Linked DNA regions of Elephas maximus indicus. The protein of the gene in region 1 interacts with the protein of each later gene in a pairwise test. Links are inferred from orthologs where the notes say so. Each region holds a gene or a part of one and is shown on either strand. Other genes may lie near its edges.

Evidence for each region.
Region 2: the proteins of FURIN (region 1) and MARCHF2 interact in a protein complementation assay, tested with the Homo sapiens proteins (2 studies listed by BioGRID). The link is inferred for Elephas maximus indicus from reciprocal best matches to the Homo sapiens genes FURIN and MARCHF2.
Region 3: the proteins of FURIN (region 1) and MARCHF1 interact in a protein complementation assay, tested with the Homo sapiens proteins (2 studies listed by BioGRID). The link is inferred for Elephas maximus indicus from reciprocal best matches to the Homo sapiens genes FURIN and MARCHF1.

What each region holds. Positions count from the first base shown.
Region 1 is NC_064831.1:75,239,561-75,247,454, reverse strand, and holds the start of FURIN (furin), read right to left. Parts: upstream 3,302-7,894; 5' UTR 3,200-3,301; exon of another isoform or gene 3,192-3,199; intron 1-3,191. UniProt on the Homo sapiens protein: Ubiquitous endoprotease within constitutive secretory pathways capable of cleavage at the RX(K/R)R consensus motif. Mediates processing of TGFB1, an essential step in TGF-beta-1 activation.
Region 2 is NC_064821.1:13,132,378-13,140,041, reverse strand, and holds the start of MARCHF2 (E3 ubiquitin-protein ligase MARCHF2), read right to left. Parts: upstream 3,391-7,664; 5' UTR 3,265-3,390; intron 1-3,264. UniProt on the Homo sapiens protein: E3 ubiquitin-protein ligase that may mediate ubiquitination of TFRC and CD86, and promote their subsequent endocytosis and sorting to lysosomes via multivesicular bodies.
Region 3 is NC_064831.1:13,917,655-13,925,428, reverse strand, and holds the start of MARCHF1 (E3 ubiquitin-protein ligase MARCHF1), read right to left. Parts: upstream 3,391-7,774; 5' UTR 3,312-3,390; coding exon 3,121-3,311; intron 1-3,120. UniProt on the Homo sapiens protein: E3 ubiquitin-protein ligase that mediates ubiquitination of TFRC, CD86, FAS and MHC class II proteins, such as HLA-DR alpha and beta, and promotes their subsequent endocytosis and sorting to lysosomes via multivesicular bodies.

The DNA of each region.
Region 1 (7,894 bases):
GTGATCCCAAAGCCGTCGCCGCCAGCCGGCGCGTCGCCCAGGCCCGGCTGTCTGCGCCCTGACCCCTAGGCTCGGCACTTCGCGCCACGAGCTCCCGGGCAGGCGGTCACGGAGACCCGAACCTGGAACCCTAGGGATAGGAAGGGCTTGGGGAGTCCTTGTGAGCCCAGCCTCGGCTGGATTCTGGGCGGCGGGGAGAAAGAGGGAGGGCTGGCCCCCTCCTCCTTCCACAATCCCACTCCTAGAGCCCTGAATTTGGACGGGGCTGGTTTAAGTACCCAGAGGTACCCCACTCCGAAGTCGGACTTGATAGCGGCAGGACGAATCTCCCCCAAGGCCTTCTGAAAGAAGAGTCACGATTTTATTTGTGTTCATGTAGACAGGTGAATAAGCAGAACAAGTAGCCTACCCCCTTTTAATTTTTTTTTTTTTAACTTTTTTAAATAACATCAACCACGTGCCAGGCTCTGGGCCAGGCACTTCACATTATCTGCTTCTTATGTACATTATTAAATCTATATAATCCTTTCAGGCTGACATTATTAATCCCATTTTACAGATAAGGAAACTGAGGTGCACAGTTAAATAATTTGTCTGACGTCCCACAATTAGCAGCCTTCAGAGCCTGAAAGAGACCCTGAATCCAAGCTCCTTGCAATATACCAGGTGGCTCCTCTCCCTGGGTCCCTGCCCTAGAAACCCTAGAAACCGTCTGTGCTACTTGGCTGAGGCTGCCAGGGCTTGAGCTGAGAAAGAAAAGATGGGAAATGTGGCTAAGAGTTCCCCGGGCTGGGTTATTCCAAGGTTGGGGAGCAGCCTCTGCCCATACCTTCCTGCTCCCTGAGAGAGAACCTGGCTTCAGCATAATCCTGTGGCAAAGAGCCTAGTGGCCTGAACACAGGTTCTGAGATGATGATGAAAGTGAACACTGCTGAGTGCTCACTACCAGCCAGGCGCTGCTCGCTTGTCCTAACCACAAACCCCACGAGGTGGGTACAAGTACCTTTGACTTTTGGTACCATTTATGCATTAAATATCTACATTTTTACAGAGGAGGAAACTGAGGCCTGAGAGGTTAAATGACATTTCTAAGGGAACTATGTGATAGTCAGCTAGCAAACCTGTGTTCAAATTCCCGTAGCGCTGTTTTATACTTAATTTCTTAGAGCCTCAGTTTACCCCTCTGTAAGGTGAAGATAACCAGTTGCTGAGGACTCAGTTTCAACTCATGGTGACCCCATGCGTGTCAGAGTAGAACCAGGCTCCACAGGGTTTTCAATGGCTGATTTTTCAGAAGTAGATGACCAGGCCTTTCTTCTGAGGTGCCTCTGGGGGGACCCATACCACCAACCTTTAGGTTAATGACTGAGCATGTTAGCAGTTTGGACCACTTTAAACAAACAAACAAACTTATTGCCACTGAGTTAATTTTGACCCATATTAACCCGATAGGACAGTGTAGAACTGCCCCATAGGGTTTCCAAGGCGAAGCTGGTGGATTCGAACTGCCGACGTTTTGGTTAGCAGCTGAATACTTAACCACCAACCGCCTTGGACACCAAGGCTCCAAAATGAAGATACTGTGTTAACGAGATAACGTATCATTTGGGCACCCTTACAAACACTGCGAAAACTGGAAGCTTGGGGAAGAATGTGTGATCGTCAAAGTTGATCAGGGTGATTGGTCTGATTGGGCCGCTCCCCAGCTAGAGGTTTCTCCCGACAGAAGAGCTAAGTAAGACTCCTAGGGACCACCCTGGAAGGGTGCCACACTGGGGTAGATCCCACCAGCAGCACCAGCCACAGTTGGACCAACAATACTTTTGTAGTCAGACAGAGACAGGAAGTGAGTCACAGTTTTTCCTTAATCTGTGAGCAAGAGAACCTCATTGAGGGGAAATAGGGACAGGGCTGGCCCCACCTAGCTTGAGAGTCCCCAGTGTACTTCCCACTTGCCCTCTGGCCTAGGAAGGTCAAGCCAAATAGAAAGCAGTATTGGCTGCCTCCAGTGCCCCACCCATCCTGGAGGCTGGCTCCAGGGAACCAAAGTGGGTCTTTGAAGGAGGGGGAGCCTGTACTCAGATGACTCCCACCCAGGCAGAAGCACTGGACCCTCCCAGTTTCTCCCTGCTAGCCTACCCTCCCCCCTCCCCGCCCCCCCTCTTGGCAGGAGGCACAATTCTTTAGACTGCTTTGCTCAGAGAAGCATCACTGTGGGGAAGTGGGGGAGGGGACCTGGAGGTGAGCTCCTGTTCTTGCTTCACCCAGAGCTTTTCCCCTTTTGTCCCTCATATATTTTGGTGTGTCACATAATGTATTTTTACTACAGGTCTGCTGATAAAACAAATTTGAAATCCCCTCTCAGTGAGGCCCCAGTCCAGTGGGTCCTCGGAAGAGAATTGGGTCTTGCCCAGCCCGTGACTGCTAACACAGACTGCTAACACAGACTTCTTCCTTTGAAATAAGCCCTGTGGGCAGGTATTGTTCTTGTTATCACTTCCAATCCACTTATCTGAGGCCACAAGGCCCGAGGGAGCTAAACTGCCACTGGAGCCTGAGTCGCCTGACTGGGCGCCTCTGTAGTCACAGTTCAGCAGTTTTTCACTGCAGTTACTAGAATGGAGTGGGGGGCATGGGGTAAGTGACAAAAGCCTAGAGATGGGAGGAGGGATGACCCGGCAGGGAGAAGTGGGGCCTGAGGGGCAAGGCTTGGAGAAGGAGAGAAAGAAGAGGCTGTGAGGGGTTCTTTACTCCGCAGCAGGGCTGAGAGGAAAGAAGAGTCTAGCCAGCCAGGCCTCTTTTTATCCTAGGATGTGGGGCTAATTTGGGAAGCTGTCAAGAGTAACCATAGTCCTAAATGCACGCAGTTACCCCGACCCCAACTACTCCCACTGTCCCTTGCGGTGCTCTGGGGTTCCCCTTTCTCAAACACTCGTCCCCACTCTCAGGCACCTCAAACGAAGCCTTCAGCAGTAGCACCCACACCTGGTTTTAATCAAAATGTCTACACAATATTCATACATGTGTAGAAGGGCATAAGACACAGTTTAACTGGTGTTTTCTCTGAGATTTGAGAGCTTTTTGTTTCCTTCCCTTTGCTTACCTGTATTTTTAGGGATGTCTACAATAACATACTAATGAAAAAAATTAAACCTTCGAGTCAGGCAAAATTGAATAAAGCATGCCCATACTTCACCACCTAGCTCCAGAACACCTGGGATCCATCCAGTTCCTGTGACTTCCCCCTCTGGCTGCTGGTGCAAGGGTCAGGTTCCTCCTAACTCGTCACAGGGCAGGGCTTTTCCAGGTCTGGCTAAACCACTTTGGGAAAACCTTTATATGACAGACAACCAGGGTGTCTGTGGGTGGGGGGAGGAGCTAGAAGTGGCTTAGTGGTGACATATGTGGTTATGCTGGGACAGGATCCCAGCAGAGCCAGCCCTTCTCATTTTCCCATTTATTGGGGTGGGTCTGCGTGTACGTTTTACCAACTGGCGCCATGCATCCCATAGTCACTTGCTGGTTTAATGGTTCCCTTCTGCCAGCTCCATGTCTTTAGTGCCTAACCAGCACTACCACAATTAAACGCTCCCCCCGCCACAAAAAAAAAAAAAAAAAAAAAACCAGTTGTTGCCTTTGAATCGATTCCGACTCATAGCAGAATAGCATAGGAAGGAGCAGCTGATGGATTGGAACTGCCAACCTTTTGGTTAGTAGCCTAGCTCTTAACCACTGCGCCACCAGAGCTCTGTCCTACTACAATTAAAAAAAAAAAAACAAAAACCAAACACGTTGCCATCGAGTCGATTCCAACTCAGTGACCCTATAGGACAGAGCAGAACTGCCCCATATGGTTTCCAAGGAGTGCCTGGTGTATTCGAACTGCCGACCTTTTTGGTTAGCAGTCGTAGCTCTTAACCACCACGCTGCCAAGGTTTCCCTATCATGATTAGGCACCTAATAAATGCTCTGGGTCCAGTGCAGCCTGACAGGCATTCATTGAGCACCTGCTGAATGCTGGGCGCTGGTGCTTCTGAGCTGAGTCCCTTAGACCCAATGTCTGGTAGAGTTGGAAAGAGGTCCCTGAGATGTGCTAGGATCTTCCTGAACCTGAGATCTCCAGTGGCCCTGCAGTCCCAACAAGCCTGCTGCCCTTCCTTCTCCCTGTTGGTCTAGAAAAGTAAAGCAGCCAGTGATCATGATTTTTTTTTATTGTGCTTTAGGTGAAAGTTTACAGCTCAAGTTAATTTCTCATACAAAAATTTATACACATATTGTTAAGTGACCCTAGCTGCAATCCCTGTAATGTGACAGCACACTTCCCCTTTCCACCCCTGGTTTCCTGTGTCTATCCAACCAGCTCCTGCCCTTTTCTGCCTTCTCATCACACCTCCAGACAGGAGCTGCCCATTTAGCCTCATTTTATCTTCTACTTGAACTAAGAAGCACATTCTTCACGGGTATTATTTTATGTTTTATAGTCCAGTCTAATCTTTGAAGAGTTGGCTTTGGGAATGGTTTTAGTTATGGGTTAACAGAGAGTCTGGGGGCCATGTCTTCTGGGGTTCCTCTAGTTTCAGACCATTAAGTCTGGTCTTTTTACATGAATTTGTGTCCTACACAACACTTTTCTCCTGCTCCGTCAGGGACTTTCTGTTGTGTTCCCTGTTGGGGGGTCACTGGTGGTAGCTGGGCACCATCTAGTTCTTCTGGTCTCAGGCTGATGGAGTCTTTGGTTTTTGTGGCCCTTTTTGTCTCTTGGGCTAATATTTTCCTTGTGTATTTGGTGTTCTTCATTCTCCTTTGCTGCAGGTGGGTTGGAACCAATTGATGCATCTTAGATGGCCACTTGCTAGTTTTTAAGACTCAAAGGGCATTATTTTGAAAATGACTAACATGAAATAGCCCATTCCTTGACGATGCCAGATAAATGAGGGGTCATCGCAATACTTAAGAAAGAAACAGAGAGAAAAAAAGAAGAGAATGATCGTAGACTGCAAGGTTGGCCTAGGTGAAGGATGTGAAGGGATGCTAAGGAGAATCTGCTCAGGCACTAATCACCGAGGCCATCAAGATCCTGTCCTCTGGCCTTGGGAAGTGTCAACAGCCTTTCCGCTGGATGATGTTATCAAACCAACAAGTCTGGAATGGCATTATGAGGGTCTTCGGAAAATAAAATAACAAACGTCTTACTGTCTACCAGGAAAGGAACAGATGATTCTGGAAATTACAGGATCCTCCACTAACTTTAATCCCTAAAACAAACATTGCAAGGGAAAAAGTCAGCTAATACTTGGAGGAAGGCGGTTGCGTGGTACACCTGGGTTGCCAAGCGCGTTTATAAGAGCCTGCTGCCTGTGCCAGCCTGTACAATAAAGGTGCCAGCACCACTGAGGCCCAGAGGAGCACACTTGGCAGGGAGGGGTACCCAGGAGGGAGAACTGTGGGCAGCAAACACTGATGGTAGAAATACTACTTAGCTGGTAGGAGACCTCCACAGTGGTCAGAAGAGACCCTGAGTGGGGCGGTGGGGCGGGGGGCGGGGGGCGGGGGGGGCATGGACAGGAGTTGTGATGGAGATAAGTTATGGGTGATAATAAAAGCTTCTGTTTGTGGAGGGTTGACTGTGCACCAGTCAGTTCATTCACTCATTCCTCAGCTATTGATTGAGCGCCTATTGGGTGTCAGGACTTCTTCCAATTAAATAAGAGCCAAGACGCCAGCTCTCACGGCACTCAAGTTCTGGCGAAGGAGGCAGGCAACACACAGATAAACATGCTAATTTATAAGTTTAGATGGTGTTGTTATTGTGGTTAGCGGCCTCGACTCCCCCCTGCACAATGAATCTGACTGTTGTGATCCATACATTTCGTTTTTTTTTTTCTTGTTGTTGTGGAGAATATACACAGCAAAACATACACCAATTCAACTGTTTCTAAATGTAAAGTTCAGTGACAGTGATTACAGTCTTCCAGCCATACAACCATTCTCACCCGCCTTGTCTGAGGTCTTCCTCCCCTATTAACATAAACTCACTCCCCCTAAGGTTTTTATCTGTTCTTTTGAGTTGCTGTTGTCACTTTGATCCCATATAGATAGTTCCTTAAAAGAGCATAATGCTCGAGGCAGACATTCTTTACTAGGTAAGCTAAACTGTTGTTTGGCTTTAAGAAGACTTCAGGGAATATTTTGGTTTAAGATTTAAAGATTATCTCAGGGCAGTAGTTTGAGGGGTTTGTCCACCTTCCATGGCTCCAGAAAGTCTTGAGTCCATGAGAATTTGAAACTGTTTTGCATTTTTCCCTTTTCCATCAGGATTCTTCTATGGAGTCGTTGATCAAAACGTTCAATAATGTTAGCTGGGCACCATCCAGTTCTTCTGATGTCATGGCAAAGGAGACAGTTGTTCACGGAGACAATTAGCCACACGTTCTGTATCCTTCTATTTCTGGCTGTCCTTCATCTTCTGTTGCTCCAAGTGAGTAGAGACAAATTCTCATGGATCTACAGGGTTTTCATTGGCTGATTTTTGGAGGTAGGATCGCCAAACCTTTATTCCTAGTTTGCTTAGTCTGGAAGCTCCATTGAAACCTGTCCAGCATCATAGCAAGATGCAAGCCTCCATTGACAGACAAGTGGTAGTTTTGCATGAGGTGCGTGGGCGAGAATGGAATCTGGGTCCTCCACATGGAAGGTGAGAATTCTATCACTGAACCACCACTGCCCTCTAGATGATCAGAACCCAAACCCATCACTATTGAGTCAATTCCAACTCAGCAACCCTACAGGACAGAGTAGAACTGTCCCATAGGGTTTCCCAGGAGCAGCTGATGGATTTGAACTGCTGACCTTTTGGTTAGCAGCTGTGGCTCTTAACCATTGCTCTACCAGGCTCTAGATGATCATAAGTACTTTGGAAAAAAAAAAAAAAGTTATGTGACAGTGCCTGGGGGTGGAGGAGCACTGTCCCTAGGATGGTCAAGGAAGACCTCTTTGAGGAGGTTAAGGTCAATGGTACAAAGCTCTGGAGAAGGAGCATTCCAGGCAGAGGAAACAGCAAGGGCACAGGCCTGGTGCGGAAGTTTGTGCACATGAAGAGCAGAGACTTATTGGAGAGCAAAGGGAGAGGGCAAGGATGAAAGGAGATGAGGTGAGCAAGGTAGGCAAGGGCTAGATCGCACAGGGCTTGACAGACTGGGTCAGGATTTTGAATTCAGCTCTCAGAGCAGTGGGCAGTTTTGGGAGAATTTACCCTTTTTAAGGAGTCCCTGGGAGGTGGAAATGGTTAGTATACTGGGGCTGCTACTGAAAGATTGGAGGTTGGAGTCCATCCAGAGGCATCTCAGAAGAAAGGCTTGGTGATTTACTTCTAAAAAATCTACCACCGAAAACCCTGTGGAGCACAGTTCTACTCTGACATCCATGGGGTCGCCGTGAGTTGGAATTGACTATGCAGCTGGTTCACTGGTTTACCCTTTTTAAAAAGCCCCTCTGACTACTGTGGGGAGAAGGGATGTAGGAGGTGAGAGCCACAGCAGCCCTACACAGGAGACACCATTAGTGAACGTCCCAGTGTTACATGTGGGGGACAGGCTTGGGGGAAGTTGAATAACTTTGATAAACAGCAAGAATTTTGTGAGCTCTTGAATAGGCCTGAGAAGGGGGTACCACATGTTTGTCCTTGGAAGCAGGAACCCTGTTCTGGTAACAGAGCTATCAAGCATGGCCAGGCCTGGGATCCCAAAGTCCCATCACTTGAATCTGCTTGGGACATCTTTAGCAGGAGACTTGGCAACGAGGGCATGCTTTGAGTTAGCAGCTAAAACTCAACACTCATTCCATGTCAGGAATGTTATTTGGGCTTTATGCTGATTGCCTTATTTATCACTCATAA
Region 2 (7,664 bases), on another chromosome or scaffold:
TATGGAAGCAGATTGTCAGGGCTTTCTTCTGTGGTACTGCCACTGGCTGGGCTCAAACCACCAATCTTTAGGTTAGTAGTTGGGCAAAAATGATTTGCACGACCCAGGGACCTAGCCATCCCTTTTACTATCACAGGAAAGAAAACACTGGGAAATCTGCTAAAGCAAGACCCTACAAATCACCAAAATAAGAATAGCGGCTATTGTTTATTAAAGAGTCTTGAAGGAAGTACAGCCAGAATGCTTCTTAGAAGTGAGAACGGCAAGACTTTGTCTTGCTTACTTTGGATCCGTCATCAGGAAATACCAATTGCTAAAAAAAGGACATCATGTTTGGCAAAGTAGAGAGATGGTCAGTGAAAATGAGGGAAAACCTCAATGAAATGGATTGACACAGTGGCTGCGATGATGGGCTCAAACTTAGCAACGATTGTGAGGATGGTGCAGGACGAGGCAATGTTTCATTCTGTTACACATAAGGCCACCATGAGTCCGAGCCAACTAGACAGTGAATAAGAGCAACAACAACAACCTTGTTTATTAAGTACCTACTGTATGCCACGCAGGAATCCTTGGGAGGCATAATCAGTTAAGTGCCTGACTACTAGCCAAAAAGCTGATGGTTCGAATCCACTCAGCGGTACCTCGGAAGACAAGCCTGGTAATACACTTCTGGAAAGTCACAGCCTTGAAAACCCTATGGAGTACAGATTTATTCCGCACATGTGGAGTCACCACGAATTGGAATCAACTCGATGGCAACCGGTTTGGTTCAGCTTTTGGCATGCCAGGTGCTGCGCTAAGCAAACTGCTTATATATTAATCATCTCACTAAAAACTCTACACGGTTATTATAAGTGTCCCCTTCAAAAGTCACTGCCCTGGAGGGGCCTCCCCCAACCACCCTGGCTAAAGTGTCACCAGAGTTCAGATTACTCCCTTCAGAGGACAGGCCACCCTCTGAAAGGCTCTTATTTGTCTCCTTGTCAACTATGTCTGTCTTCCCACTCTTCAGTGAGCTCTGTGAAGGGACTATGTTGGACTTGGTCCCTACTGTCCCCAGCACCTGACACCATCTGGCACAGAGTTGCTGTATTAATTTCTCAGGTCCTACTCTGGTGCAAACTGTCTGCACTCATCTACTAACCTAAAGGTGAGAGGTTCGAATCCACCCAGCAGTGCCACAGAAGAAAGACTTGGTAATCTGGTTCCATAGAGATCCATAAAGACCCAAGAAAACCCTGTGGAGCAGTTCTACTCTGTAACACATGGGGTCGCCATGTGTTGGAATCGACTTGACAGCAATGGGTATGGGTACTCTGTATAAGAACAGAGCGGGAGAAACAGATCCCTTGACCCTAGATCCTAGTGTGCCAGCCTCCATGGTGGGAATCGGAGAGGTTTAGAGGCTAGAGGTCCAAATGAGTTACAGAGGCTTGCACAAAGCCATACTCAAGGCTGGGTGTCAGGATAGGGGCGGCTGCAAGTTGGACTCAACTTTGGGTCTGCTAGGATGGGAGAATGAGCCAACACCTTGGGCAGACTTAGCCCAGTGCCCTGGAGATAGATTTCACTGAGTCTTCACAACAAACCTGCAAGTCGTATAATTGCCCCCACTTGACAGAGGAGGAGACTGAGGCCCAGAGAGGTGCAGTTACTTGCCCAAGGGCACACAGCCAGGAAGGGACAGTCCAGCGAGTGAGTCTGGGGCTCATGAGGCCTGGGTTTCTTGAGTCCTGGCTCTGCCACTGATGCTGTGTGAACTGGGACACTTCACTTAGCTTCTCTGGGCCTCATCTTCCTCCTTTGTAAAATAACCTGATGGAGTCGGTGGACTGTGAAGCTCACTCTCCCTCAGCTACATCTGAGGTAACACTGGGGTGCCACAACCTTTCCACTCCTCCCCAGCCTCCTGTTCCTGAGGGCAGGGAATTGGGGGAAGAGGACTCAGAGGGCCCTAACTCCCCACAGAGTGATTTCAGACAAACTGCTTCACCCTCTGAGCCTGTTTCCTCATCTGTAAAATGGGGTCATAATGTTACCTAGCTCATAAATCAGTAAACATTAAGTCAGTAAACATTAGCTCTTATTATAATTACATCATTACCTTCAGGAACTGTTGGGAAGGCTTGATGAGAAGCACAGTCAGTGCCTGGCACACAGTAAGTGCTCAATAAATGCTTTGTTGTGTACTGTCAAGTTGACTTCTGACTCCCGGCAACCCCATGTATTACAGAGTAGAAATGCCCCATAGGGTCTTCTAGGCTGAAATCTTTATGGGAGCAGGTCGCCAGGTCTTTCTCCTGGAGAGCTGCTGAGTGTGTTTGAACCACTGAATTTTCAATTATAGCCGAGCCCTTGTGCCACCAGGGCTTAATAAATGTTAACCGGTATAATTTTTTAGGGTAGCTGTGGAGCCAGCAAAATGCATTCATTCATCTTCACTCACTACCAAGGGGCTCCTGTGTGCCCTGTGGCCACAGAGAGGAAGACATCGATGCCTTCTTCACTACTTCTCTGGCCCTGCATCTGGGGCCAGGTTCTAATTCCAGCTCTCCTCCTTATTTGCTGTGTGGCCCTGTGCAAGAGTCTTAACCTCTCTGAGCCTCCATTTTCTCATCTGTAAAACAAAGAAGACTTCTAGTACTTCCCTCTCCTCCGGTTCCTAGAGGACATTGTTGTGTTAGGTGCTGTCCAGTAGATTCTGACTCATAGCAACTCTATAGGACAGGGTAGAACTACCCTATAGGATTTCCAAGCTTTACGGGAGCAGATTGCCAGGTCTTTCTCCCGCGGAGCCGCTGCGTAGGTTCAAACCACTAAGCATTGGGTTAGCAGCGGAGCGCTTAACTATTGCGCCACCAAGACTCCTTTAGAGGGCTGAGTGAGTGGATAATATAAATTCTGGCCACTCTGTCACAGTGCCGACACATTATATTTACTATTAGCCCCTGAGGGGCAAGATGGGGACGTCACTGACCACTTGGTGACCACCTACGGTGTGTCGGGCACTTTCCACATGCGCCCCTCCTGGGTACTCCCGACCCCGTTTCACAGAAAAGGAAACTGAGGCTCTGCGAGGCGCCTACTTGTGTGTCGAGCTCCAGGAGCCTCTCGCCGCCCTCGCTACGGGAATGGCGGCCCCGGCGTCCAGTGGGAGGCCAAGGCCGAGGGTCCGAGCCCGGCTGTCGCGCGCAAGGGGCCTCGAATCCGGGCGGGCCCGCAGACGGGCGTCCCCCGTCCCCTCCCGCCGTCCCGGCCTACCTGCTCCGCGGCCGGGCCGGGCGACCGCGCAGGCCCCTCCGCTCACCCCGGGCCCTGTCCCGGCCCGGCCCGGCCCGTCCCGTCAGCGCCGCTCGCTCCGCTCTGGCCGGCACCTGCGTCCGGGCACCGCCCGCCGAGCTAACTGCGCCGCTGGCCAATAGCAACCGCCTCTCGCTCGCTCTCGCCAATCGCCGCACACGTCCCGCCCCGGGAGGCGGGGCCGGAGGGGACAGGGACATCCTGGGCCGCACAGGCCCGACTGCGCCGCAGCTGCTGGTTCCGCCCCTGCCGCGTCCCGGCACCGCCCCTTAACTCCGGCTCCGCCCCCATCCCTGGCCCCGCCCCATTCCTGCCACCGACCAGAGCGCGGCTGGCAACGCCACCTGCCGACGCACAGTGCTTTAAACTCGTAATAAAACCGTTGCAGAACGCCGCGTGACACCCGGCAATAAGCTACTTATAAATGTTCATCACATCCCTTACGCTTCTTATCAACTCGGGGGAGGGAGAGACAGTATAACTGCATTTACAGAGGAGAAAATAGAGGTCTGGAAAGGTTAGAGGACCGTGGAGGGAACCTAGAGCTAAATCATTCATTCAGCAATCATTCATTGATTCATCCAGTATGTGTTTGTTAAAGGCCTATTATGAGCCAGGCACTGTGCTAAGTGATGGCGACACAATGTTGAGTGAGACAGACATATACTGCTGCCCTCATGATGGACCTCAATCTAGGAAGTGACACAGACATTAATCAACCAATTATAAAATTAATGAGTAACTACAAATGTGATAAATTGTGGTAAGTGACTTCACTTAGAGCACACACACAAGTGTGTAAGTGGTAAGTGAGGGGATATACCATCTTATGAGAACATGGAAAAACTGGGGGATGTCGGGAAGTATTTCCTTGCAGAAGAAGCAATTGAGCTGACACCTTACGGATGAGTAGACATTACCTAGGAGAAAAGGGAAAAAGAGTCCCAGACGCATGTTCAGCACATGCCAAAACCCAGAGGTAAGATGGAGAATTGTCTTAATACTTCCTTCCCCTTCTGCCCCACCTTGATCAATATATAGATCAGCTCCATTATCTCAGTTAGGTCCCTGGGTGGCACAGCAGTGCTGTGGAAGAAAGGTCTGGCAATCTGCTTCCATAAGGATTACAGCCAAGACAACCCTATTGAGCAGTTCTACTCTGTAACACATGGGGTTGCCATGAGCCAATATTAACTCCATGGCAACGAGTTTGGTTTTCATTATCTCAGTTAAATTCTGGTGTGTGGTACTGTCTTCTAAATGTTTTTAATAGAAAGATAAACTGTAGTGTTTTTTAAATAGTAACCTATAGAGGGAAGGAATAGGATGGAGGGGACAAGGATAGAAGCTAGACTTTTTTTAATTGAAAATATGCTTTGTTCTGTAGATTTGACTTCACAATCATGCAAGTATTTTATGTAACTATAAATCGAAATAAAAAAATTAAAGAAATCCCTATAAAACAAAATTGAAATAAAACAAATGAACCTGTATATCCAGTTGGTGCCAAAACAACACAGATGAACTAGTGATTTTAAAACACCACTATTCAACTGTATACACTACTCTATTATTGTTGGTGGTGTTAAAATTGTTTCTCTGAACTTGTGGATGTAGAGGGGGATAAAGAAAAGAAGCAATTATGTTAATGCCAAGAACTGGGACTTTCAGAGGGAGTGAAAGGAGATACAGATGTAAGATTGATTAAACACCCCGTGATACTGAATTTGAGTTGGGAATAATCATGATCTATTTTACCTTTTAATTTACCTCCATAACAAAACATTTCCACTGTTTTGTTAGCTCTGTCCACTGAAAAGATCAGAAACAAAGACTGACCTAGTTGCAATGGGCACTCCTAATACTCAGACTGTGGTCTCTAAATACCATCCCAGGGAACCTTAGGGAAATGTCTGGTTCTGGGTCTGGGACGGGAAATGTACAAAATGAGCTGGGTCATCTCGTCATACCAGGGAACAAGAGTTATCAAGATAGTGGGAGCTCGGTGGTTGAGAGTTCAGCTGCTAATCAAAAGGTCAGCAGTTCAAATCCACCAGCCACTCCTTGGAAACTCTACAGGGCAGTTCTACTCTGTCCTATAGGGTTGATTGAAGTGGGAATCAACTTAATGGCAATGGTCAGTGGGATCAAGATAGTGCCAGTAGAGGCAATCTAGAAGAGGCTTTCGTGGGGACAGGGTTGGTTCAGTGGTAGAATTCTCACCTCCCATGCAGGAGACCTAGGTTCCGTTCCTGGCCAATGCTCCTCATCCACAGCCACCACCCACTCCTCTAGGAGTCTTGCGTATTGCTATGAAAATATTTGAGCAGGCTTCAGAGGAGCTTCCAGACTAAGATGGACTAGGAAGAAAGGCCTGGCAACATATTTCTTAAAATCGATTCATGAAAACCCTGTGGATCACAATGGTCCAATACGCAACAGATCATGGGGATGCCACAAGACTGGGCAGCATTTCATTTTGTTGTACTTGGGGACGTCATGAGTCGGGGACTAACTGGACATCAGCAAACAACAACAGAGTACATACACGGCACTACCTGAACCTCATCAGGCCACTAGATCTAACTATTAATTTGCAGGAAATGCAGAGGACAAAGGGACATGTTAAATGACATCCTAGGTCCATAGAGACAGAAAGTAGGTTAGTGGTTTCCAGGTACTTGCCAAAGAATGGAGGAAGCAAGATGAGGAATGATAGTTTAATGGATATGGGATTTCTTTTTGGTAGTGAACACGTTCTAGACTTAGTGGGGATGGTGCACAACATTGTAAATATACTAAAACACACTGATTGTATACTTTAAAACGGTTAAAATGGTAAATTTTTATGTTACGTGAAATTTCTCAATTTTTTCTAGAAAAAGAAAACACACACACATCATAGGGAGGTTACTGGCAACATTCAGACTGAGAAACTACAGGACAAATGACTAATTTCTTTAAAAAAAAAAAAAAATCAAGGCCAGAAAAATAAGAGCTACAAGGGGAATTTGTAGGTTATAAAAACTGAAGTCTTAAATCAGTTAGAATGTGTAGACTATGTTTTGACATTGATTCAAACAAATCATTCAAAAAATTATAAGACAGTCAGACAAATGTGAACACTGGCTCGACATTTGATAATATTAAGGAACTATTTTATTCTTCATTTCCTTAGGTATGATAATATTGAGGTTACATTACAAAAAGTTCTTAAATTTTACAGCCATGTACTGAAAGCTTTCTAGCAGGACTGTGTCTGGGATTTGCAAATGGGAGGGGAATAGGGAGTACAGATGAAACAAGATTGGTATGTTGAAGCTCAACATATAAGGGGTTTATTAGACTCTTACTGTCTCTGGGGGACCCCTGGGGGTGCAGTGGTTAAGAGCTCGGCTTCTAACTGAAAGGTCCAGCAGTTCAAATCCACCAGGTACTCCTTGGAAACCCTATGGGGCAGTTCTACTCTGTCCTATAGGGTCACTATGAGTTGGAATCCACTCAACAGCAACGGGTTTTTTTTTTTTAAACGCCTCTGGGTGAACTCAAATCACCACCCTCTCATTTAACAGCGAGTGCTTAACAATTCGCACCACCCAGGGCAAAATTTTTTATATGTTTAAAATTTTCCATCATAAAAGTTTTTAAAGTTTTGGTGTACTTCTTTCCAGCCTTTTATCTGGTCATTTTCCCCATTTGTGAGAACCTTCTGGCCCATAGTTGTTGCCATCTGGTCGGCTCTGACTCATGATGACCTTATGTACAACAGCACAAAACCTTGCCTGGTTCTGTACCATCTCCAAGATCGTTGGTATGTTTGAGTCCATTTTCTGGTTCCGTACCATCGACATGATTGTTGGTACGTTTCAGTCCATTGTTCTGATTCTGTACCATCTTCATGATCGTTGGTATGTTTGAGTCCGTCGTTGTGGCTATTGTGCCAATTTATCTCATTGAGGGTTTCCATTATTTTTGATGACCCTCAACTTTGCCAAAAGTGATATCTTTTCCTATAGATCAGTCTTTTCCTGATGATGTATCCAAAGTAAGCAAGCTGAAGTCTTACCAACCTCGCTTCTAAGCAGCATTCTGGTTGCATTTCTTCTGACTTGTTCTCTTGGCAGTCCGTGATATATATATATATATCAACGGCAAATATATCTATATATATACCCATTGCCGTCGAGTTGATTTCGACAGAGTAGAACTGCCCCAGGAGGTTTCCTAGGCTGTAATCTTCACAGAAGCGGACTGCCACCTTTCTCCTGCAGAGCGGCTGGTGAGTTCTAACCATCGACCTTCCAGTTAGCAGCTGAGCACCACCAGGACTCCTTAGTCCATGATATAACCAAAAACCCATT
Region 3 (7,774 bases), about 61 Mb from region 1:
TTCATATTTATCCTGTGGTATCTTGAGCTTTTGTCTTTTCAGGTGTATTCTCAATCCCTCCCGCCTGATAATAGGCTACTTAAGGGAAGGGAAGGGAATCAAGTCTGTTACCACTTTTTATCCTCAGCATCTGGATAATATGCTGCCTCTGTTTTTTTTTTTTTTTTATGGTATTCATTTAGTATATTTTGATGATAACCCACAGCAAGAAATAATACCTATAGTCCCTTTGATTGCACGTTCATTGACAGAAGTCAAGGTTAAATACCCTGTCTTTGGAAATGTTCCTCCAGAACAATGCTTTTAAGACAGGAGAGCCAGTCACTATGATTTTAATTGCAAGCATCGTTTTGTCTCCAATAGCCGTTAAACCCATTACTTGCTCCTTTGGCTGTCTTTCATTTAATTATGCTGGAAGCGGATTTAGGAAATGACAATAGATGGTTGCAAGTGGGGATTTCTTACACTAGAAACAGAAGTAGTAGTCTAGACTAGCCCACTCTTTCAGCGAAAATCGTGTACAAAAGAAACACTAAAATAAAAACCAAATTGCACTACTTCCCTTTTAAATCCTAATGTTTCAAAAATAGAGCTCAAAATCCTGGGCCTGTTTAACATTGCCCTGTATGTCCTGGCCCCTCTCCACCTCCCCATTGTCATCTCCACCACCCAGCCCCTCACTCACCACACCCTGGCCACAATAGCAGGCTCTCACTTCCCTGAATTGTCAAGCCCTTCTCTTTCCCTGACTTCACGCTATTAGCACTCTCTGCCTGGATGCCCCTCCCCCACTTCTTTCCTTGATCAACTCCTGTCATCCTTTGAGCCTCAGTCTGCTTCTCACTTCCTCAGAGTTCTTCTCTGATCTCCCTGAGTAGGTTTGGCCTCCTTGTCATATGCTCCCACATTCCTTACACAATTGTAATTAGGTATTAATTGTGAAATAGTCGTTTTTGTGTCTGTGTTCTCCATTAGACTGTAAGGTCTCTGGCAGCAGAAACGATACAGTTCTTCTGCACTGCACTGTTTTCCATGTCTAGAATAATGCCCGATACATAAGAGATGCTTGATAAATATTTGTTGAACAAAATAATGGACATTTTATGAACGACCATCTTAGAAACATTTCAGGGAAATATATCATTCTAGTGTGATTCACATAAGGAGCTTAATTCTTCTCCTACTGTGCCACGGCCAGCATCCTCTGGGTCACCTGACTCACATGAAATGACCATATATGTTTATAAAGTAACTTCAACTCTTAAGAAAGCAAACCCAAACTACCGAGCACTGTACGACAAAACTTCACTTGTTCCCAGACAAAATCCAATCAACTTAAATGATTTGGTGTTATATGAGAATTTAAACATACTTGTTTTATTTAAAATTGTCTCATTTATGCACACCAACATGGATATTCCTACAGTTCTTTTGAAATGTATACTGTTGGGTAAAAAGAGCAAGTAAGCAGTCTCATAAGCTATGAAATTTCTGCAAGTGGAAACCCTTTATTACGTGACTAGTTAATATGGTCTTCTTCCCCAAAGGCTCCAGTAACCCCACTGATATGTCCATACCCTGTTTCTGTGTCCTTCCAGCCTTGAATCCCTCTGCTGAGTCGGACAACTGGAGAAGAAATTAGCACCAGCTGCAGAGGAAATCTTTCTGATACAAAAATCTGACCTGAAGGGGTCCAAGCCCTGAATATCTTTCTGGCAGGGGGCTAACAGTTCACCCTATTTTCATTGACGAGTCCGAGGTTCATATACTCTCATTCAGATTTCCTCCGCTATGCTTGTCTTAACTAGAATGGGTTTAAGACTCACCTAGTTTCTCAGTTCCCTCAGTTAAAAGAAAGAGAAGGGGAAATCTAATGCTATTCTGCAACAGCTTGCAAACCCATGGATACCCCTGCATTCTTCTTCTCATACCCACCTTTTCTCATTTTTCGCTTAATAATCACAAAGAGCAATATGGATACACGTCTTGTTTGGGAAGTAGGTGTCAAACACACACCTACCTCACAGCAGAAAGAAATACAGTTATAGGACATCAAGTCTTTCTCAGTAGTGACTGACCTGCATACTTCTAAACTATCAGACCCATCATCACAGGTGGCAGGAGGCTCCTGAACAGAGTTATTCACCCGGAGCCCTGAATCATCCACATGCTCGCCAGCTTCTGGAACATCCAATATTTCAGTGCTGGAATCTCTCTCTGAAAGTCTTTTCTTGATTGTTGCATTTTGCCTGAGACTAGGCAAGAGCCGAGAGTTTCTCTGGTGGTGTCTACCTTTGTTTTCCTCATGAATCCTTGAGTATCTCTTAATTTCAAAGGATTCTCTAGGCGGGGAAAGATTGCATTCTTGGAGCCTTGTGCCTTCTCCTCTTCGCTGATTTATAAAGCAACTCTCACATTCGATCTGCCCTTGTTGCTTTGTAACTTTGGTTCCCAAATCTGTAAGTTCAGTTCTTTTAGGTGGGGAAGGCACACCCAAGTTTCCACAAGGCTTACTATTATTATTTATCCTTCTCCTTCATGACAGTCTGAACTTAACTTGGGCTCTTCTTTTAGCCTGAATCCAATGACTCTCATCTGTGGAAGATGAATCTGAAGAATCTTCATGAAGCTCACTCCAGCTGGGGTTTAAGATTTGGAGGTTCATATCATTTCTCCTCCCTTCCATTTGTTCGTCTGCATGCTCATATCTCTCTGAGGCCCTTTTCCTTCTCCTAGGCCTCTGTTTTAATGGTTTCTTACCAGACTCCTTTCTAGCAGAGCTCAGCACCACGACAGGGGTATAATGTTCAAATGCATCTTCTGACATGTCATGCAAGATGGCAGATCTGGACAAAGCAGCAGGCAGAGGATGAGAAATGGGAATGGAGAGGAGAGCCATGGAAAAACAGAGAAAAAGATGAAAATGAGAGTATGGACTGAAGTTAGTAAATAAAGATCAACTGAAGAAAATGAAATAAAGGAAACAAAATAAGCCAGTTTAAATTGTCCATGGACAACGTAAGGCAGAAGCAAGAGCCACACATCCTCAGAACATAAACTAGGAATGTAACACACTGGTCTAAAAGAACTATCGAACAGGATCGTTTGCTCAGTACTCACCTGCAGATGTCTTGAGTAGATGGACACACAGACAACCGTGACTGGCTCCTGGGAGCTGTTCCTGTCGTTGGGCTGCTAGCCTGGAGAAACAAGTTAGATAATTTGGCATCTTGGTTCACGTAATACATAGTTGATATTTTATTTGTTTTCCACATATTTAAAAAATTACAACAAATGTGGCTGCCAGTCATGTTGCTTATAACGCAGCTCACAGAATACAGGAAGTTAGAGCGTTTGGTTTGCAAAAGTAAAACTTGTTTGAGGAACTTGGAACAGCTGAGAAGCTGTACCACTTTGCTGTTGCTTCATTTGTGAGAGAGGAAGACAATTCCTGTTCTACTTACTGTAAACATTTGAGTTGAATGGCTCGATTTGCTCTGAAACAAATAGGTAGCACTTGAAGATCCTATATCACAAGAATGATAATAATCTGGGAAGCCAGAATAATCAACTAGCCAGTGACACTGTCTGGAGTTAACACTAATTTAGGTCAAGATCATATGAGATAATATATTTGGAAATATTTTGCAGTATTTAAAAGCCTATAGTTATTGCTGTTACTACTTGCCATTGAAACAAATGAAATCTATCCATCACAGCACTATAGACCTTTCATATCTTTTAACCGTTACCATACTGAGTATTAAAAAAACAAAAAAGCTGTTGCCATTGAGTCAACTCTGACTCATAGTGACCCCGCTGGGCAGAGTAGAACTGCCCCAGAGAGTTTCTGAGGCTGTAATTTTGCAGATGCAGGCTGACACACATCTTTCTCTAGAGTTTGAACCGCTGACCTTTCATTTAACAGCTGAGTGCTTAACCACTGTACCACCAGGGCACCTAGAGTCTAAGAGAGTCTGAAACGATTCAGATTATTGGTACAATGTTCAGCACATTTCTCTCAATTTCTACTTTGAAAGAACAACATCTTCTTCACCGTATTCAACTTCATTATCCTTTTATGTTTAACACAGATGAAGATGATAATAAATGAAAAGCTGGAATTTATTGAGAATTTACTGTGTGCCAAGCATTGTGAGGTGCCCGAATCCACTGTGCCTTTAATTGTTACAATAATCTCATAAGTGGGAAATGATAATAACTAATAATTTTGAGTGACTATTATGTGCCATTCACTCTTCTAAGCATTTTTAGTATATTTATTCATTGATTTTCACAAGAACCTTATTTGGTAAATACTGTATTTTCATGTTGCAGATGAGGAAACTAGTAGGTGGTAGAACAGACATTTGAACCAGGAATCTGGGTCCAACATCTGTTCTCTTATCCACCAGGCAATACAGCTTCTCTTCCTTCACACAGGAGGAAACCAGGAGAGTCATGATTCCAGATTCAGGCCTATTTGATTGTGTAGATGCAATACACCATATTGCCTCCAAGAAAATAACAGTAACGGTAGAGAGACTGACCTCAAATTTCAAAATCATTCTACAAATTCCCTCATTAGAGATATACACAGACAGTTGTGAGATACAGAGAAAGAGAAACTAATCCTAACTCAAGAGGTCAGAAAAACTTTCAAAAGGAGGGGTGGTGGGCTGAGTAATGGTCTCCTCAAACGTCCATGGAGTCCCTGGGTGGTACAAATGGTTAACTTGCTCAGCTACTAACTGAAAGGTTGGAGGTTAGAGTCCACCCAGAGGTGCCTCTAAAGAAAAGCCTGATGATTTACTTCTGAGAAACCGGCCTTTGAAAACTCTCTGCACAGTTCTACTCTGACACACACGGGGTGGCCACGCGTCATAGTCTACTTGATGACAACTGATTTAACTGGTAAAGGTGTTCACATCTTAATCCCTGGACCCTGTGAATATGTTACCTTACATGGTAACAGTGACTTTGCAGATGTGATGAAGTTAAGGATTTTGATATGGGGAGATTCTCCTGGATTATCTAGGTGAGACAAATACTCGTGGCTTTCTAAGAGGAAGGCAGTAGAGTTACGGTCAGAGACAGAAGGAGAAAAGACCGAAGGTTGGGAAGAGAAGTCATAAAGAAGAGAAGGTGTTATACCGCTGGCTTTGAAGATGAAGGAAGGGGTCCTGAGTCAAGGGATGCAGGCGGCTTCTATAAACTGGAAAAGGCAAAGAAATGGATTCTCCTCTAGAACCTCCAGAAGGAATGCAGCCCTGCGGACACCTTGATTTTTAGCTTAGTGAAACCGAGTCAGGTTTCTCACCTCCAGAGCTATAATAAATTCATGTTGTTTTAAGCCCCCAAATTTGTGGTATTTTGTTATGGTAGCCACAGGAAGCTGTTACAGGAGGTGGCACTTTCACTTAAAGTCAAACAACAGTTAGTAAAGAAGTGATTAAAATATTCCAGTGTGCTCACAGAAAGGATGACACTCTCAACATGCTCTAATACACCGCCATACATCTGCGTGCTTTTTTTTTTTTAAAGGGGTAACATCTCTTTATTCTCTATTCTACTTTTTTATTATCTGTTTCTAGGAGGAAAAATATTACATACAGTCAGTGTTTTTGATGCCAGTATGGACAACAGCAGGCTTGACAGCAATTACTCCATTACAACAAATATAAAGGCACATTTTAAAACAGGAGTAAGATCTTATTACAATTACTGAGAATTGCATTGTATGGAAAAGAATGGACTAAACCATGGAAACTTGCATTTGAGTCAAGGCTCTGCCACCTGTTGTGAACTTTGGCAAATTACTTTTCATCTTTGAGCCTTCTTCCTTCTCTATAAAATGAGGTTAGAAATTTCAACTTTAAGCATAGTAAGGAAGAAATTAGATAATTTGGTATCATAAGCTAGTATATGGTGTATACCGTACTAGTATACTACACATTGTAGTTTGGCATATACTAATATGTATTTGCTCACTTTTTTGCCTATCTGTTCATCCGTTCGTTCAAATACATCCATAAGGCAACATAGTAAACTAGATATACTGTGAACCAAAGAATTTTCTTTTTTTTTAATTACCAAATACAATTTATTTTATCGTCAGCCATTTATCTCCCAATAACCATAAGACAAACATCTGCATGTTTTTGATTTACACTTTTTGGACTACTATCTACTAATTCATGAACACTGTGTATTTTTTTCATCTTCAAACATCAGGCCATGCTTGATTAATTTCTTGAATATTCTGTATCAAAACTCACTTTCTTCAACTCTTTTTTTTCCACAGATTAACGTCATCTCACTCTGCATCCTTGGAATATACATATAGCTAATTTTATAAAATGTGAGCATTTCTGCTCTGTAAACAGTAAGTTTCATGACACTCACTGTGCACCTCCTGTTCTGAGTGCAGCTACTGTGGTCAGTGAGGAGCTCTGAATACAATAGGCACTGAGTAAAGGGTATCTGTGAGGTTCATTACTAAACATCTTCTTTAAAAGAGCAACGCAGCCCCAAAGTGGAGTCATTATCATTGATGTGATGCTAATAATAAGTGATAATTATCATTGATGTGAACCCACTGTACTGAGCATCATAAGGGATATCCATGGCTATTTAATGGTGTGTCAGAGCTGATTGGAATGTACAAGCAAAGATGTTATAAGCAGATATAATCATAATAGGACAAATTTTTATAATCTCACAGGTCTGAGCAAATATATGTTTTAAAATGGGAAAAGGATTTATCAGTGAATAACAGCACAGACATTAAAAAACATTTCTAATGCAGCTTTTCTTTGAGAGTTTTTGGCCTAGCATGACACTGAATCAAGTAGTTTTTATGTCTATAACCCTTAAGTATTTTGCAGAGAATAGAAGCCATTCCTTGTTGCCCATAAACAATCTTTAAATAGCTTAAATCCAGTGTTAGCTTATACATGTTTAATTTGCTGGCGAGCTACTGTAGCAGGTACTGTTGATCTCCAGCCCATACCCTTGGTCCTCCTCTAAGTTCACCTATGCGCTGACTGCTTTCCCCATCAGTGCCTGTGCCTCTGTTTCTCTGCCCAGGTCTTTTCTGGTGTCATGTGCCCTTGTGTCCCTTCACACTGACACAGTCTGAAGGCGTGGGGTAAGTTAAAGCCCCTGAGGACAATACTGGAACTGGAGTCAGTGAACAAATGCCCCAATTTCTCCAGTTTCCAAAAGGACAATTCTGAGGTGACTTCCAGAGAATTTCTCAAAGAATTCGAAGCAGCATCGAGGCCCAGTTGTACCAGCTCATGAGTATACGTTTTATTGGCTTTTCCCCTTTCTCTGCCTTAATTTTCCACTTCTTGTTGTTGTACCTCGGGTCACCTCCCTGATAAAATACCTACATCGAACTAAGTTAGCACCTAAACTAAGACCGGAATTTGTTGACCAGCAGACTGTTATTATGGAAACCCACTGAAATAAAATGAATTCTACTTTAATTTACAAATGTGAACTAGGGTCTATGATGTAATAGATACTATACTGGGCTATGAGAATAAAGAAATAGCTCCATGGAGGGACTTCCTGTTTAGTGAAGGAAAGATATAAGCAAACTGGAAATTTTAATACAATCTAGTGTACCCTGACAAAAACAAAACAAACAACAACAAAAAAATCCATTGCCATCAAGTTGATTCCGACACATAGCAACCCTATAGGGCAGAGTAAAACTGCCCCATAAGGTTTCCAAGGAGTGGCTAGTGGATTCAAACTGCCAACC